Drosophila melanogaster: one gene and its partners. The gene in region 1 interacts genetically with each later gene. Each region holds a gene or a part of one and is shown in the gene's direction. Other genes may lie near its edges.

Region 1 (3,835 bases):
CGTAACGTCCGGTTCACCGCCTTTTAGCAACTTGCCGGTCTTTTGAGCCAACTGTTCTAAAAAGTGCGTGGATGTGTTCCAGTGTTCAATTTTGTAGTTCTTTGAAATGTACTCCGGACGCACGCGTTTCAGCAGAGAGTCTACGTAATCTTCAGGATTTGTGACGAGCTCCACCCGCACCACACCCTTCAACACTTTCTCGGTGTCAGTCTCCGCGGTGGGATACACCACGCCAGGACAATCGATCAAGAAGATGCGTTTCATTAGCGTTATATACTGCCATACTTTCGTCTCCCCCGCAATTGGTGCTACCTTGCAAACCTTTTTTGATCGTAGCGCATTAATAACAGAAGATTTACCCACGTTGGGATACCCAATGAAGCCCACGCTGATCTGTTTTTTGTCCAAATGCAGTTTGCCCAACTGACGGAATAGATTGATGAGCGCACCTATAAAAATAATTGATTTTTATGACAAATAATTGATATTTTTACTTTATAAACTTACCTTTTCCAAAAGGATGTTGTAGGGAGGCATGGAAGGCAATAGTAGGATATTCGGCACTAAGAATAGCCACCCAACGCTGCGTTACCCACACCGGTACCAGATCAACCTTGTTCAGAATGAAAAATAGATGTTTGTGCGGTTTTTCCTTGCGCAAGAACTCCTCAATGTACTTCGAGCGCGTGCCCATGGGATCGCGGGCATCAAGAACCTGAAGCAGCACATCGGACGCATCGACCACCTTGTGCAACTCGTTCCAGATGCGTTTACTCTGCCCCGCACCGAACACCCAATCACGGACGGCCTTCTTTTCGCCAGTATCCTCGCGGATTAGATCTAAATCCTTAGCTGAATCGTACTTATCGGCCTGGTCATCGGCCGCCTTGCTTAAATCTTCCAGATCGCGAACCTTTAGGCTGACGCGCTTGCGCTGCTTTTTGGGCCCAAAGGTACTGTCGAAGCTCTCGGTGTCCAGCAAATGAACCCTTTTGTATTTTGCTGCCTCGTTCAGTAAAGTTACCGGTAACTGGGATGGCTTCATGATCACCTGGTAGGGATCCTTGACAGCCTTGCCAATCTCATCCTGGAACTTTTGCAAAGCAGTTTGCGAGATAACGCGGGAATTGCTAAACCACTTGGGCGTAGGCTCAACTCGAGCCATTGTTCCAGCAGGCAGGCGCCCCTAAAATAAAGCACATTTCCAGGATTAGTATGAATTATTAAATGGGTTGTGGAAAACATATTCGGCATTTTCTCTCTTGTATTTAATTTTTTCTTTTATATATTTACAACAAGAATGAAAACATAAGATTTGTAATTAAATTATTATACGGATAATAAGTCGTAACAAAATATACTTATGAAATCTTTTTATCTTTTAATGCTTTTAATTTTGAGTCGATCGTTTTAATTGCACCTTTGTGAAGTAGATGATAATTTTGAAAACTAAACAATGGTTATTGGATATTCATGTTGCAATAAATCCTTCCTATGTCTATAAGTGATGGTAAATCTTATGAATCCAAAGATAAGAATTATCGAAGATACATGTTGTAAAGCTAAATCTCACCTGGAAGGGGGCGGGCGTGAGGATCTTTCCAGTGCGATCGCGCTTGGCCTTGAAGTTACGGTACATCTGAAGCCGCTTGATGGTGCCCTTAGTGCGGGGGTGGGCGACTCCCTTGAGACCGCTTTTGGGGCGCTCCGGATTCATGGAGTGGTTTGAGTGGTTGAATCCCTGCGTCCGGGGCTTACCCGGGGTGCTGCGTACCTTTGGCATGGTGTCTCAAGAATGTCGTGTGCCTTGTTTATAAATCAAATCGTATATTTGAACACGATCAAACCAAACCACACGTGTTTTTATATGAAATAAAAAAACAAAGGGATCGTGCGTTTTTCAGCACTGTCTGGACTTAGTATCCAACACTAAAATGCGCTTCAGAAAATATCGACTACGAGGACTGGCCACACTAAAATCCCAACAGTAATAAACACCAGTTTGGGTACAACTTAACAATTATTTGCATTTATTAAATGCAACTATAACCGGGGCACATGTGGTATTTAAATAATTTTTTGCAAATTTAGTGAATTTAAAAAACATGTAGTACTCTCTTAGCTTCTTTCTTTTTGGTTAAATGTTATGGAACTACTATTCCTATTGGGCATATACTTATGACCATCACTGTGTTCAAGTATCAAGCTGGTTTTATATCCGTGTGCCTATGTACATTTGTATCCGCTTGGCCACGAGCTTTGGCTGCACTTGGCAAACTTAATAAATTAAACATTGAATCCTGCCTATTGCAACGATAATATAATCTGATTTAGTGCATTAAGAACGACAAGTAGCGATTATAATAGTAGATTTTAGCATTTGAGCTAAATTTATTTCCCAACCGCGTCTTGGGATTGCGTATGCGTGAGCCAGTACCTGCATGTGTGTGTGTTTTGGAATGTGGCCCTGCACGAAATTCAAATAGTGACCATCCTTGAGATTTTGCATACTGGCAAGATGGACGAGCACACGTTAAACGACCTGTTGGAGTGCTCCGTGTGTCTTGAGCGACTGGACACCACATCGAAGGTGCTGCCATGCCAGCACACCTTCTGCCGCAAATGCTTGCAGGTGAGTAATTGTTGTGGGTTTGCTACATATATATCATATAACCGAATGATTTCATCATTCTATGCCAGGACATTGTGGCCAGTCAGCACAAGTTGCGATGCCCGGAGTGCCGCATCCTGGTCTCTTGCAAAATTGATGAGCTGCCTCCAAACGTCTTGCTGATGCGAATCTTAGAAGGTAACAGCTAACGCCCACACCAACCTAAACTGGCACAGCACAACAGCCTACGCTCAAAATCAAAGAATGGTTGACTTTATGAGTGCGGCAAAGTGGCTTTGGCAATTGAATATGGCGTTTACCTGGTCTTTACCTACCTTTAAACACCCTTTCTTTAATTCTCACAGGCATGAAACAAAATGCAGCAGCTGGCAAAGGAGAAGAAAAGGGAGAGGAGACTGAAACACAGCCGGAAAGGGCCAAACCTCAGCCGCCAGCGGAATCAGTGGCCCCGCCTGACAACCAACTACTCCAGCTGCAGTCACATCAGCAATCTCATCAGCCGGCTCGTCACAAGCAACGTCGATTTCTACTCCCCCACGCCTATGCCCTCTTTGACTTCGCCTCCGGTGAAGCCACCGATCTAAAGTTCAAGAAAGGGGATCTGATACTGATCAAGCATCGCATCGACAACAACTGGTTTGTGGGTCAAGCGAATGGTCAGGAGGGCACATTTCCCATCAACTACGTCAAGGTATCGGTTCCGCTGCCCATGCCGCAGTGCATTGCCATGTATGACTTTAAGATGGGGCCCAACGACGAGGAGGGATGCCTCGAATTTAAGAAAAGCACTGTAATACAGGTAATGCGCCGAGTTGATCATAATTGGGCAGAAGGACGAATTGGCCAGACCATCGGAATCTTTCCAATAGCATTCGTTGAGCTGAATGCAGCGGCCAAAAAGCTGTTGGACAGCGGGCTACACACCCATCCATTCTGCCATCCACCGAAGCAACAGGGGCAGCGGGCCCTTCCTCCGGTTCCAGTTATTGATCCCACGGTGGTCACGGAATCCAGTTCGGGATCCTCCAATTCCACGCCGGGCAGCAGCAATTCAAGCTCCACATCCAGCTCGAATAACTGCAGTCCGAATCACCAAATCTCACTGCCGAATACCCCCCAACATGTAGTAGCTTCCGGATCGGCGTCTGTTCGTTTCCGTGACAAGGGAGCAAAGGAGAAACGCCACTCACTAAATGCTTTGCT
Region 2 (3,600 bases), on another chromosome or scaffold:
TGCGATTATTGACCACCGCGCACATACTTGCATGCTAGTCCTCACTTCCCCCTTGGTTTTACTGGAACCGGTTGGAGTGGCTAATAAGAAACACACGCACCCGGTCGCACGCCCCACACCAGTGATGGTGGGTGGTGGAGGGGTGGTCCGGAGTGCTGGTGTTCCGGGGGAGTGAGCCTTATCAGCGACACTCGTTTTCTTAACTCTGGCTGGGCCGCCTGGCCACAAATCAGCAACCATAACCATAACAACACCAGCATTTAGATGATTGCCAGCGCAAAGGGAAGGCGGAATAAAGTAAGTGAAAAGCACTAAGGGAAGCTAAACGTCATTGAAAGTGGGCCGAAAATGGGTATACAAGTTGGCTTAAATAATCTTAACTCTTCTGAATGATTACCAATTTTATTGCTGGTTCATTATTATAAAATATTTGGAGAAGAGTGAACATTCCGATTTTCATACTTTGTAAATAAATTTCTATTTTTTTGGCTTATCAGCTTGTTTTAAACACAGTAATTCCTTTTCCTATCTGAACATATTCCACTTAAAGAGGAATTTTAAGAAATAAGGAAATGACATGCAGAATTAAAAGCCCAATGAATTATTTATTTTAAAACATTTTTCTTATGGATATTCCAATTGGAAAATCGAAATCCAAAATGCTCCCCTTTCATTATAATTTCATTTCATTATAAACAAAAAAATTTTAAAGTAGGCTTCTTTATAAAATACTTCAACAGAAGACCTTTGCCCATAGAGTGCGAATTGAAATGAACACTGGAATGACATGCTGAACTTGAAATGAATCGTATTCGCAGCGACATCCGCATCCGCGCATTCCAGTCACCCTAAGCGTGAACTGCACTCCACTGGCTGTCTAACTGTTTCTCATGTGCCTTCGCTGCTTTGTTGTCTCTCACCCACACAGCGCACACCTCCAACTGCCACCCCATTCGGTTAGCTTTTCTATTGTGACGTCATTGGCGGCGGAGACGCAAATACCCATGCACATGAAAACACATGCAATAAAGAAGCCACACTGGAATGGCAGTAGATAATTGCAAGAGATAGGATTAAGAGGAGCATGAGGATGGTGGTGGCGGAAGTCAGTGGTGATTCCCGTTGGTCAGAAGACGTGGGCGCAACAACACAATGGAATCGATTGCACCTGCTTGTACGTTGTTGTTGCTTTCGCAGGGGGTTCTGTTTTCTTGATTGGCAGTGACCTATTTTCTGCGGCTGGGAGACGGCCCCACAAGTAACCAGCCGGAGGAGACTCACCGCGTTTCACCGAATCCTCGTAGCTGACGCTATTGGAGTGCTTGGACTCCTTGGTGCCCATGGTCCAGAATTTCTTGTTTGCGGGGGTGCAACTCAATGGATTCTGGGGCTCCGCCTGCTGCTGCGTCTGGCGACGCCACTTTTCACATTTGTTCAACTTCACTTCACAGTCGCGGGCGGAACAATAGGCTGCTGGCGAGGATCAGGTGCAGGATCACGACGATATATGTGTATGAATATATAATATACACCTGTCTTTTTGACTCTTGTCTTGTGCTATTTTCCTCTGTTTCTTTCTATATTCGCGCACTTTCCAACACTAACTGGAAACAGCTGTTTTCCCCATCGTACGATAAGCTATCGATAGACGACGGCGCGCCAGTGTTGCGCAGCAACGAATTATCGAAACTCATATTTTTTGTACGGGCGTAATTAGAAAGCAGTAATTAACTTCATTTCCACGTAATTTTCACAACAAACCAACGTAGACTCGCACCGCGTAGCGAGCGCCTTTGCATTTGCCCACCGGAAAAGCCGCCGCACGAAATCCGAAACTCGGGCACAGACAACAAAAAGGTCTTAAATCTACGTCGCCATTTTTGACACGGCTCCGAAATCGAAAACACAACACACACACCCAAGAGAAAAAGAGCTGCGCTGCGGAGAGAAGGAAAAAACTATACGTTTTCGATTCGAGTCGATTCAATTAGATTGTGGATTAGTGCGGTTACGTCTGGGTATAGTGTATATGTACATACATACGCTAAACGGCACGCATGGGGCATAATCGTGATTAGTGTTATTAGCCAAGAATCGGAGAGGAAGTCAGTCAGTTGATTAAGGAGACGACGACGTGTACAGAGCATCATCACCCTTAACCCGTACCCTAACCCCCAGCTAAGCACTATTATCGGGCCAGATACTGTGATCCTACCGCAAAAGCACACAAAATGGCCAAAACCTACGACTATCTGTTCAAACTGCTCCTGATCGGTGACTCCGGAGTGGGCAAGACCTGCATCCTCTTCCGATTCTCTGAGGACGCCTTCAACACAACGTTTATATCCACAATAGGTGAGTGTCATCATCCGCGTTTACCGTGTCTTCCGATTCTTAATTTTTTTTTTTTTTTGGTTATTAATTATAACACCTTCGTTCGCATGAACTCATTCGCAATTGGAAATCCGAGCTTCTGGCCCAGTGACTCATTAAATGCCTCTTTTCTTTTTTATTTCCTGCCCCATCCGGGCGCATTTGTCATAAATATTGTTGTTTCCATGGGAGGGGCACTCCCACCATGTTTGATTTCTCGCGCTTATTAAGATTTTCCCGTAAGGAATATATCCGGATGCCTTATCTCGCCCTGAGATTCACACCCGCATAGGAAAGCGATCAGAAATGAGTACTCAGTCCGAGTACCCATAGTCTTTGTACTTTCGCTGCTCTTATCGCCCCAGAAGCCGGATTGTTCCGATGCGAGACTTGACCGTCGCACGCCAAATCGGGAATGCCCTATTATATACCCAGCAGGCCCATGCCCAGTCTCAGAGGGAATTCAAGTAGTTGTTCCCGTACGAGTACAGTGAAGCCTTTCTACCAAACACAGCAAATACTTTTTAATAAATTCGAATCATAATCAGTACAACTTCAAGTGGCAGTTAAATCAGATTATGCTAGTAATTTTAAGCTTATTAAAATAATAATCACAATAATATTCGACATGCACACTGTACTTTCCCGTACTTGTAAACACAAAAGTAGAGCGATTCCCATTTCTGCTCGTGGCTAATAATTGTTTATTTTCGTTTTTGGCACGTTTTCATCGCGACACTTCCAATTTTGGGGCATTTACTTAACGACATTGTTTAAATTAATTGCGTGGTTTGTGGATTTCGGTTCTCTTCGTCTCTTATTTTAGCTGCGATGTCATGGGTTCCGACCAAACAGGTTTAGCCTCTTGCCAAATTATTTAAATTAATTAGCAAACGTACATGTGTGTATATGCTCATCTGTTTTCTCTTTTCAGGTATCGATTTTAAAATTAGAACAATTGAATTAGATAACAAGAAGATTAAGCTGCAGATATGGTAAGTACTAGGCGATTCATCTGTATTCTCTAATTACCTATATCTCCATTCATTTTCCAGGGACACTGCCGGCCAGGAGCGTTTTCGCACAATCACCACGGCCTATTACAGAGGTGCCATGGGCATCATGCTGGTATATGACATAACCCAAGAAAAGTCCTTCGAGAACATCAAAAACTGGATCAGGAATATCGAGGAAAATGCGTCCGCCGATGTCGAGAAAATGCTGCTG
Region 3 (3,835 bases), 1.7 Mb from region 1:
ATTTGCTCGCCGGACTATGCCTACGGTAGCCGTGGCCACCCCGGCGTCATTCCGCCCAACTCCACCCTCACCTTCGACGTCGAGCTGCTCAAGGTCGAATAGGCGCACAGGATGCCCAATGTGTATACCCCAAACCAAATCGCAGGGGGTTGCGGACCGGCGCACCGGCGACGAGCCGAAGAACATCATAATCGGAACCAGAACAATCCAGCAGCATTTGCCAACCCAAAATAATAATGATAACTTCATACACAGCTCTAAACTAGAACTAATTTAACCGCAAAGGGAACGCATCTTCTACCAATACAAATAAACATTTATTCAAGTCAATGACAAATGTCTTTCTTATCAAAAATCTTGGGATAATCCAATCAAATCAGCTGCGGTTGCCTTTCCGTGCTGCAATACAAATGCATTTCATATTATTTTTTAATCAGGAAAATATGCAAATATAAAAACGCTTTATCATTCTCTTGATAGACTTGAAGTGGTCTACTTGACAAATTTGATTTTATTTTATATAAGTATATAAAGTGTACAAGCATCTTATTTGCATATATATTCGATTTGGAAACAGGATTTTTTTTAATTCTTTGTGCACAATTAATCCAAATTATTTTTCATTTTCTATACCACTTCCAAAATCACCTAGATACGCTTCAGTTTTTGCAGACCAAGCTCATAATCTTGTCAATAACTTCATATCGCTCCTTTTCATACTTCTTGATATGCTTTATCCAGTGTCCGCGCACTTTCTTCCAGCGGTTCATATTGGAGGACAGAAGATCGGAGGTACTGGCACCTTGGAGAGCCTTTTCCCGCTTCTTGTCCTCCTGGCTGAACTCCAGACGAGGCGGAATTATGGGCAGATCCGTGGACTTGGCCTGCGGGAGCTGGTTGATCACCTTTATCTCGCCGCTTTTAATTTGGGACAGGATTTCTTCGCCGTTGTCCTCACGTTTGGTGGCCGTGAGTGAAGCATCTGTTTGAAATGCACCCACAGCTGGATTCTTGGGTTGATTTGCCATCCATGCGCGGCATATGGGGTACAAAGGAGTCTTATCCTGGTATTTGGACAGGTCCAAACTTCGCTCAAACAGGCGCATTACGTAGGTCTCGCCGGGCGCCTTCTGGGCGACTGCCGCTGCTCCAACGCTCTTCTTGTAGAGCACTCTCCTGGCCTTGATGCGTCCTCCGGCGCCGGCTGCGGCTGCACTCGAGGATGTCGAAGGCTTCTCGCTAGAGCCCGACGTGACCGTCTTGACTTTCGGATCTAGCTTTACCTGGTACTGACGCTGCTGTTGCTGCTGGATGAGCAGCTTCTTCGAGGGACGGCCCCGAATGGGCAAATCCGACTCTGCGTCGTCGTCCGGCGGCAGGTTTGTCGTCTCTGGTTTCTGCTCCTCACGGCGCGACTCCCGCAAGCGCAGGGCCGTTTCCTTCTTTTTCGGCACAGTCTTCATTTCCAGAAATCTTGTATTCGACACGAAAATTAAGGGAAAACAATTTCGAATGCCGAATCGGAAATCAAACGGACTTACGGCGCTTCACAACACTGAAACACCACTTCGCCACGCAACACTACATAAGTCAGTGGTATTTCAAAAAATACCATAAATTAAAGAAAACAAACGGTCTTGGCGCCTAACGCTAGCTTGAGAAATAATTCTTTGAATTATTTGTAGCTTAAATGAAAAGAAAAAAGAATAACATATATATTTTTAAACAAAAACTTAATACACATTAATATTTGACTATTCAAAAATATTTAATAGACTTTGATTGTTAAATTAATACTTTTGTAGATTAAAAAAAAAAAAACAAGGAAATGAAAGTCTTAAAAATTTGGTATTTCTCGATTTGGTAATTTTAACCCAAAACCTTTCGGGCTTTTCAACCCACCTTTTATGGTCACACTGCTGTTTTGTGATCGCGAAAAGAGCGACGTGAAAAATACATTTAATTAAGTTTACTGCGAAAAATAAAATAAATAACTAAATTAAAACAAAGCGGAGCTTTTGCGTGAACTGTGTGTGTAGTTGTGAGTGTGTGAGAAAAGAAAAACGAAAACAAAGCCAACGAGGAAATCGAAGGGGCAAAAGTGGAAAAGATTCAGATTGAAAAGCACCAAAATATCGAAATCACAATTTGAATGTCAAAGAACAAACGACAAAAAGAGCGGAGCAACAAAGGAACATTGGAAAAGTCAAGAATTTAACTTATTCGGTAAGGATGCAAATTGTAAATCTGTGGATTTTGCTTCTTCTGCTCACGCACACATCCACATACAATTGGGAAGTGCACAGGTGTGGGTGGATCTGCTCTGTGTGCAAATAACAAATTGTGAAAAACAACTCGCACACATGCAGATCACCTAGTGCACCAAATAAAAGCAATAAATAAACACATTTCCAAACGGGCAACAAGTTGTGAATGCGTTTTTTAAGGGGGAGGGGCCATACCAAGTTTCCCAACGTTTCACATTTTCAATCGATCTCGGTTGTTTTTATATATGTATGGATATTTTTTATCTACTATTGCGTAGCTGCCAATGTCACCTGTTTTTTGCTCTCTCTCTCTCTCTCTCTTGCGCTCTCTCCCTCCCTCTCGCTCGCACCCACGCTGGCTGTAGCTGGTTTTTATCTTGTGCCGTTAACACAGCCATTACGTGTCTCTTTCGCACTCGCACTGCACATTGGTGTTCGTGTGTCTGTGCAAGACTGCACGTAACTGTATTACCCATTCGTACATGCGTATACGTATTTCCGCCTATTGATAACGGCTGAAACTCCCTCGAAATGGCCGTCTTTTCGAAATATGTAAACGAATCGTTCGGGTACATCCCCCGACCACCACCCACCCACCGCCCACTCAACCCCCTCCAAGCGCTTCTAATCGCAAAGTGCAAATATTGATTTGCTATGTGTGCTTTTAGATTTTCTCCCACTATCAATAACAATAAGCGCTCTCTGTACGTTGTTTTTGCTTCGGTTTGGTTTCGTATTAAGAAAACAAGTTCACAAGTTTTTGCACTTGTTATGCACTGTAAGAAAAACGCAAGTTTTATTCAAGAGCTCCGCATTACCGCATTATATTGCCAATTGTGAAACTTTTATAATATTTATACTAGCAGCTTAGTTTTGTAACTTTCGGAAATAAAAAGTTTTGGTAAAACAAACAAGAAACATTTTATTTATTTTTTTAAGTGTTGATCATTGTTGCTGTTTCGTTTTGTGACTTTGTTTATGTGGCGGTTTTCTTGTAATTGCGGGAATTTCCCGGCATTTCAGCAGTTGAGAGTGCAAATATAAAGCAGAGAGAGAAACCCTCATCTGTTTGTGATTATCTGAATTCTTCTTCCGTATTTAAGCGTTAACTCTGCTTTTGAGCGACAAGGCTGTTAAATATTTTCAGCTATAACACCAAAATTACCCTTTATCTCGCAATATATTAATAAATACAAGTCTCCAAAAGACGTCATAAATTAAAACGCGATTTAAATGACGTTTAAAGCGACTTCTAATTTATGTATGTTTATCACGAACTAAAAATTTAATTACTTTATAAATTTTAAATTCTCAAGATAGTGAGCAACTATGTATGTTTTAAAGAAAAAATTGTTGGAGTTCCACAAAATTTCGTTTGAAAAATTGAGTTTTTATGTACCAAATATGCAAATCAAATGAAACTTAAAAGCTGACTTAGAAATCCTTTTGTTTATATGGGTGAAACTAAATAAATCCTTTTGTTTATGTAAATCACGTTCGATTGTGTGCTTATTCCACGCATTAATAACTGCCTTACTCCATGCACAGAGTACAGCTTTTTTGAATGT

What was found.
Region 2: of POSH (region 1) and Rab8, changing one suppresses a phenotype caused by changing the other (phenotypic suppression), as found in Drosophila melanogaster (one study listed by BioGRID).
Region 3: of POSH (region 1) and Tab2, changing one suppresses a phenotype caused by changing the other (phenotypic suppression), as found in Drosophila melanogaster (one study listed by BioGRID).

What each region holds. Positions count from the first base shown.
Region 1 is NT_033778.4:17,566,546-17,570,380, forward strand, and holds the start of POSH (plenty of SH3s), read left to right. Parts: upstream 1-2,186; 5' UTR 2,187-2,518; coding exon 2,519-2,632; intron 2,633-2,700; coding exon 2,701-2,809; intron 2,810-2,976; coding exon 2,977-3,835. Other genes in the region: Ns2 (nucleostemin 2), read right to left, coding at 1-449, 508-1,186, 1,574-1,783.
Region 2 is NT_037436.4:19,869,136-19,872,735, reverse strand, and holds the start of Rab8 (Rab8), read left to right. Parts: upstream 1-1,657; 5' UTR 1,658-2,231; coding exon 2,232-2,355; intron 2,356-3,177; exon of another isoform or gene 3,178-3,209; coding exon of another isoform or gene 3,210-3,228; intron 3,229-3,307; coding exon 3,308-3,368; intron 3,369-3,428; coding exon 3,429-3,600. Other genes in the region: Usp32 (ubiquitin specific protease 32), read right to left, coding at 1,282-1,342.
Region 3 is NT_033778.4:19,290,635-19,294,469, forward strand, and holds the start of Tab2 (TAK1-associated binding protein 2), read left to right. Parts: upstream 1-1,894; 5' UTR 1,895-2,226; intron 2,227-3,835. Other genes in the region: Fkbp12 (FK506-binding protein 12kD), read left to right, coding at 1-102; mip40 (Myb-interacting protein 40), read right to left, coding at 660-1,463.